2 linked regions of the Danio rerio genome follow. The protein of the gene in region 1 interacts with the protein of each later gene in a biochemical or structural test. Links are inferred from orthologs where the notes say so. Each region holds a gene or a part of one and is shown in the gene's direction. Other genes may lie near its edges.

Region 1 (3,842 bases):
AATTATCTGCGGCTGCTTTCAGTATGGTTATAAATGTCCAGAAAAATTGCATTCAAACTCGTACTGGTTACATTTATACTGAATAAAGCCCATAATCAGTACCTGAGGCGATCATTGTCATCGTAGTTTATGTTGTTGCTTTGCTGCGGAAATAGAAACTGTACTGACAGTCACAGCTCTAACGTTCATGTTCATGTTCAAAGTGTGAGTGTATTTCATTTTCTGATTTAAGTTATCTGCTGTTGCTTTTAGTATGGCTATAAATGTCAGGAAAAATAGTATTCAAACTCGTACTGGTTACATTTATACTGAATAAAGCCCATAATCAGTACCTGAGGTGATCATTGTCATAGTATTTTATGCTCTTGTTTTGCTGCGGAAATCGAAACTGTACTGATAGTCACAGTTCTAACATTCATGTTCAAACTGTACGTGTATTTCATTTTCTGAGGTAAATTATCTGCTGTTAATTTCAGTATGGTTATAAATGTCAGAAAAAATATAGTAATTAAACTCATACTGGTTACATTTATACTGAATAATGCCCATAATCGGTACCTGAGGCGATCATTGTCATATTAATTTATGCTGTTGTTTTGCTGTGGTCATAAAAACTGTTCTGAGAGTCACAGGTCTAGCGTTCATGTTCAAACTGTACGTGTATTTCATTTTCTGAGGTAAATTATCTGCTGTTAATTTCAGTATGGTTATAAATGTCAGGAAAAATAGTATTCAAACTCATACTGGTGACATTTATACTGAATAATGCCCATAATCAGTACCTGAGGCGATCATTGTCATAGTATTTTATGCTCTTGTTTTGCTGCGGAAATGGAAACTGTAGTGATATTCACAGCTCTAACGTTCATGTTCAAACTGTACTTGTATTTCATTTTCTGAGGTAAATTATCTGCTGCTGCTTTCAGTATGGTTATAAATGTCAGGCCAAAAATGTATTAAAACTCGGTTACTGGTTACATTTATACTGAATAAAGCTCATAATAAGTACCTGAGGCGATCATTGTCATAGTACAGGGTGGGCCATTTATATGGATGCACCTTAATAAAATGGGAATGGTTGATGGTATTAATGCCCTATAAATAAATAAAAGCGCTACGCTATACAAATAATCTTGAATTATGGAGTTGGGAAATGTCCACAAGCCAGTATTCGAAATCAAGATGCGCAAAACACAATGACAATACATGTCGACACACTTACCACTAGGCAATTGGCAGTAATCAGAAAATGTAGTTTAATTTACTTTTGTCGTGTCTTGCTGTTTTGTTTGTTATTAATCTATACATTTCATATAGATTTTGTTAATGAAGCAAATACTGATTATTCCACACGTGATCTTTTTTTTTTTTTGTCTGTCTGCAGAGAAGGGTTTTGTGTCTCTGACTCCTCCTCTGGACAGAAACATCTCTGCGCAGCTCGGAGAAAACGTGGAGCTGAAGGTGGAGATCGAGGCGTATCCCAAACCTACAGTCCAGTGGAGGAAAGACGGTGCTGTTATCAGAGGACACAGCATGAGGGAGGAGCACGAAACGAGGTATTCATGACCCTCAAATACTCACACTCTTCTTCAGAGGCTGAAAGCAAATGCAGATTTACTCTCTGCTTGAAGATCAGCAGAGATTTAACAGAGATATATATATAAACAGACACTGATGCAGCACTGGATGCGTTGCAGGTTTGTCAGCACATTGACCCTGGTCAGAACTCGACTGCAGCAGATGGGTCTCTACAAAGTCACCGTCCAAAATGAAGACGCCCTCAAAGAGATGATCTTTGACCTAGAGGTGAAAGGTGAGACGGTTCAACATCCATTTACACACCACCCCATTTCCTGAAAATAGACACCCATGTTGGTTTAAGATGGGAAGCAGCAAGAATAATACCAGCTGCCAGGAATACTGCGGAACCAGTTAACTTTTATTATTAGCCACTGAAACTACTGTGAAAGTTATTTTATTTAATTTTTTGTCAAATAAGTTAAATAAAAATTATAGAAATAAATAATAAATTAATATAATAATAACAATAATAATATTAATAATAAAAATAAGTATAAATAAACCGCCTACATCACAAGCCACCCTTTAAAAGACTTTAATTTAATTTAATTCAATTTATTTATTTTATTTTTTTTTGGCAAATAAGTAAAAAAATGATATGAATAAATAATAAAATAATAATATAATAAAAATAATAATAATAAATAATAATAAAAATAAAAATAAAATATGGATAAACCTATCTACATCACAAGCCATCACTCAAAAGACTTTAATTTAATTTTATTATATTTTATATTTTTTATTATTATATTTTTTATCTTTTCGTCAAATAAGTTAAATAAAAATTATATGAATAAATAATAAAAATAATAATATAAAAATAAAAAATAAAATAAAAATAAATATGAATAAATATGAATAAATCTCCCTACATCACAAGCCACCCCTCAAAAGAAAGCTTTTAATTTAATTTTATTTTATTTTATTTTATTGTTTTATTTTATTATAAAAAATATATATTTTTTATTTTTATTTACTGAACAAAAAAGAAAACTAAGTTGGATTTTTATTTAATTAATTTCTGCAATAATATGACATTTTTTAAATTACCTTATTATTTAACATTTAATTTGGTTATAATAAATTATGCATGTTATAAATATGTATATATTTAAAAACATTTTAGAATAAATTGATCAACATATATTTGTTTGGTATCAATAGTATTTTTAATTAACTATTAAATTATGACTGTGATATTTCTTATTTGTATTTAAAAATGACATATTTATTTATATTTTTAAAGAATTAATTGTTGTTCACCCGTCTGGTTTATTGAGTGAGGTTTTCATGTGAAGATCTTTTGTCTGCTTCTGCAGTTCCTCCTCAGATAACGGAGCTGTCAGATCATCACCTGCCGGAGAAGAAGCACGCAGTGACCTGTGTGGCAGAAGGAGTGCCCAAACCCAGCATTCAGTGGTTCAGCTGCGACAGCATGACCAGGTGATGACACTTCATCATCATCATCATCATCTTCATAAACATCATCATCATTATCATCAAATTAGTATCAGTGAATTTTTTAGGGTTTAAATTGGTTTCTTTGCTGATGGATGGATGGAAGGATGAATGAATAGATGGAGGGCTGAATAAATTGATGATATATAGACTGATGTATTAATGAATGATATATAGATGGATGGATGTATTAATTATGATATATAGATGGATGGATAAATGGATTGATGGAGAAATAGATGAATGAATGAATAGATACATAGATGAATGGATCAATTTATTAATAGATCATTTGTAGATGGATGGTTGGATTGATGGGTGTATGGATATATGGATGAATGGATTTATTAATGGATAATATTGTATATAGATGGATAATATTTAGTCAAATGGACAAGTTAGTATAGTGATGGATGGATGGATGGATGGATGGGTCGATGGATGGATGGATGAATAGATTAATGAATGATATGTAGATGGATTGATGGATGGATGTATACATGGATAGATGGATGGATGGATGGATTGTTACATGCATGGATGGATGTATTAATGGATGATATATAGATGGGTGGATTGATGAATGGATGAATGGATGGATATAGTATTGAATGGATGGATGGATGGATGGATGGATGGATGGATGGATGGATGGATAGATGCATGGATGGATGGATTAATAAATTATGTGTAGATGGATTCATGGATGGATGTATAAATGAATGATATATAGATTGATGGATGGATGGATTGATGGATGTATTAAAGAATGATATATGAATGGATGGATGGATGGATGG
Region 2 (3,842 bases), on another chromosome or scaffold:
TGCGAGATCTGCTGTGTACAAGATTTAGGCCCAATAAGTAATAATTCTGTTTTGTCTGAGTTTAGGAGAAGAAAACTGTTGGTCATCCAGTCTTTAATGTCTTTGATACACTCAGTTAGTTTAGACAGTTGAGACGTCTCGTCAGGTTTAGTTGAAATATATAATTGAGTATCATCTGCATAGCAGTGAAAGCTGATCCCATGTCTTCTAATAATGTCTCCCAGAGGTAGCATGTAAATTGTAAACAGCAAAGGGCCTAAAACTGATCCTTGAGGCACCCCATACTTTACTGGGCTGACTTGTGAAGGCTGTCCATTAATATTCACAAACTGCTAACGGTCAGTTAAGTATGACTTAAACCATTATAGAGCCTGTCCCTGGACACCTGTAGACTTTAAGCGATTTATGAGGATATTGTGGTCAATGGTGTCGAATGCCGAACTAAGATCAAGTAAACTAATAGCGAGACGCACCCTCGGTCAGCAGCTAAGAGTAAATCATTGGTTATTTTCACTAATGCGGTTTCTGTACTGTGATGAGCCCTGAAACCTGGCTGAAACACTTCAAAAATATTGTTCATCTGCAGAAAGGAGCATAATTGAGTAGAAACAACTTTTTCTAGTATTTTAGACATAAATGGAAGATTTGAAATAGGCCTATAGTTAGCTAAGTTTTTGGGGTCCAGTTGCGGTTTCTTAATAATAGGCTTAAAAACAGCTAGCTTGTAAGAGTTTGGAACATGGCCTATAGATAAAGAAGAGTCGATAATGTTAAGAAGAGGCTCTCCTATTGCAGGTAGCAGCTCTTTCAGTAATTTTGTTGGAATTGAGTCCAGCATACACGTAGCTGGTTTAGAGCTATTTATAATTTTATCTAGCTCTTCCTGTTCTATGATTTTGAAGCAGTGTAGGTTATTATTATGATTCAATCGGACCGAGGAGGGGAACAGAAATGCTATATAGCATCGCCATAATGGTTGTTCCTTAGCTGTAAGCGTCAGTCTCTTCAGCTTAAAAGGATGGCGTTTCCTTGCTTCCCTGTGCTTATATGCGGAGCTAATGGGCAATGAGGCACACGTGCGCAAGCTTACGCTGCCAATTCATTTGGCATTTCAATACTCTTAGCATTGAAGTTCCCCTCCTCGGAGATATATATATATATATATATATATATATATATATATATATATATATATATATATATATATATATATATATATATTTTTTTTTTTTTTTTTTTAAGCTCCCCAATTTAATTCCTAATATTCAAAAATGCAATTACAATTAGTAACACTAGGGAATACTTTGTACTTCAATGGCTTGTCATACTGTAGGTAACTGGAAAAAAATATTTTGTGTGCAGAGACATAATGTGACTTTCTACACCTCTTTACTGGTGTGTTTTAAAAAGACACCAGTCCGATTGATAACATCTGAAAAATTATGCTTGCATCAGGAAATATGTTTGTCTATGTTTGTATCACACCTATGATTACATTGTCATTTCAGTTCCTACTCCTCCTGGCGAGATCAGCACAACGCAGAGCACAAACACACTGAACATCAGCTGGGCTCAACCACTCAACATGAGCTCAGTATCTTACTACTTTCTCTTGCAATACAACAACAGCACTCTCATAAATTGCAGCCAAAACTACACCTCTCTGACAGGCCTCAATGCTGGTTTCCCATACAACATCATCATGTGGACTGTTGGTGCAATGAATTACTCAAGCTCTTCTAAGAGTCTCACTGCATTTACAAGTAAGCAGTTTGCAATTATTCATGATTAATCGTATTAACGACTTTCTTGCTATAAATGAGATTTTATTAGTTGTGTATAGACATCAGTTCACTTCAATTACAAGAACCACAAAGAAAAATGAATAAGATTTTTATTTATTTTTCCAGATGCAAATCATGTACCTTCAGTGTAAAAACGTCTTAAACTGTCTAAAATTTCAAAACCTTAACTTCAGGTCTGAAAAAGTCCTAAAAATTTATAAAAATTTAATGATATATTGTGTTGTAGGTCTTAAATTGTTTTAAACAGGTCTTAATTTTGCTTTGTCCAAGTAAAGCTACTCAATTTGGGCTGATATCCATCTAATGACCAACACATCCCTATAAAATCCAATTTTTTATTTTTCTATAATTTTTTTTATAGCAAAGAGATAATTCACAACAGCTGTTAGACATTTTTACAGCAAATTCCTCAAATAATTTCCTTAATCAGGGAAAAATAAACTTAAAGCAATTACACGATTCCTCACGATAATACAAGACCATTCAAAACATCTTATCCCTGTAAAAGTCTAAAATTTCATTCTTGATGGTCTTAAAGGGGTCTTAAATTGACCCGATGATTTTTTTTATTATTACAATTTTTTAAGTTAATTTATTAAGTTCTTCAAGTGTGTATCGCTTTTCATAATAATTATTGTTTTAAAGCAGCTTCATAAAAGGTGCACATCATCACATTACAGTCAATATCAAAAAAGGTAAGGAGTTGTGTATAGGGAAGAAATAAACATAGTTAGCCCGCAGTTATACAGTCTATAGTTTCTCTCCAAAAAGGGTATATATATATAAATATAAATATATATATATATATATATATATATATATATATATATATATATATATATATATATATATATATATATATATATATATATATATATATATATATATATATATATATATATACACACAGTTGAAGTCAGAATTATTAGCCCCGTTTTGATTTTTTATCCCTTTTTAAAATATTTCCCAAATGATGTTTAACAGTGCAAGGAAATTTTCACAGTATGTCTGATAATATTTTTTCTTCTCGAGAAAGTCTGATTTGTTTTTATTTTGGCTAGAATAAAAGCAGTTTTTAGTTTTTTAAAAGCCATTTTAATGTCAAAATTATTAGCCTCTTTAAGCAATTTTTTTCCTGATAGTCTACAGAACAAATCATCGTTATACAATAACTTGCCTAATTACCCTAACCTGCCTAGTTAACCTAATTAACCTAGTTAAGCCTTTAAATGTCACTTTAAGCTGTATAGAAGTGTCTTGAAAAATATCTAGTTAAATATGATTTACTGTCATTATGGCAAAGATAAAATAAATCAGTTATTAGAGATGAGTTATTAAAACTATTATGCTTAGAAATGTGTTAAGAAAATCTTCTTTCCGTTAAACAGAAATAGGGGAAAAAAATAAACAGGGGTGCTAATAATTCAGGGGGGCTAAAAATTCTGACTTCAACTGTATATAAACAGAATTTGCACTAAGGATAGGAGGGTTTTTAAAAAAAAACCTGCACGTGCAAAAGACATAAAAACGGTCTCTGAAGCAATTTGTTGGTGTGTTACTATGTGTTAGTGTTCATCACAGTTTAATAGTTTGGTCATTTCTCCAGAGTTTACAGCAACTCTTTCACAATTAATGCTACAAACTCACTTGCTTTACGTTTTATCAGTTTAAGATTCCAGCGCAATACACAGCAGAAACTCAATGTTTTTTTTTCTCTTTTAGCTAAGTTTTTTTTAAGTATACTGTACATGTTCTTGCACAGAAACACAGGCTGAATGCATGTAACATAATGTCAGATTAGCCATATTTAACAGTTAGTTAACCCAGTGTCAAAAGTGAATGTACACATTGGTGGATGACAGCAGCCAAAATTACATTTATCCTGAAATTACACATCTTATACTAAAATAATGTGTATATTAATAATATCAACCTTCATCTTTCTTTAAGGTTTTGATTGCTTGGCTCTGAGAATAGCTTAGTATTTTATACAGATGTATGGGATTTTAAAGTGTTACAATAGGGGATTTATTATTT

Evidence for each region.
Region 2: of the proteins of pdgfrb (region 1) and ptprja, one has a biochemical effect on the other in vitro, tested with the Homo sapiens proteins (2 studies listed by IntAct). The link is inferred for Danio rerio from reciprocal best matches to the Homo sapiens genes PDGFRB and PTPRJ.

The regions. Positions count from the first base shown.
Region 1 is NC_133189.1:3,712,567-3,716,408, reverse strand, and holds part of pdgfrb (platelet-derived growth factor receptor beta), read left to right. Parts: intron 1-1,384; coding exon 1,385-1,556; intron 1,557-1,697; coding exon 1,698-1,813; intron 1,814-2,903; coding exon 2,904-3,027; intron 3,028-3,842. UniProt on the Homo sapiens protein: Tyrosine-protein kinase that acts as a cell-surface receptor for homodimeric PDGFB and PDGFD and for heterodimers formed by PDGFA and PDGFB, and plays an essential role in the regulation of embryonic development, cell proliferation, survival, differentiation, chemotaxis and migration.
Region 2 is NC_133182.1:39,918,242-39,922,083, reverse strand, and holds part of ptprja (receptor-type tyrosine-protein phosphatase eta precursor), read left to right. Parts: intron 1-1,508; coding exon 1,509-1,763; intron 1,764-3,842. UniProt on the Homo sapiens protein: Tyrosine phosphatase which dephosphorylates or contributes to the dephosphorylation of CTNND1, FLT3, PDGFRB, MET, KDR, LYN, SRC, MAPK1, MAPK3, EGFR, TJP1, OCLN, PIK3R1 and PIK3R2. Plays a role in cell adhesion, migration, proliferation and differentiation.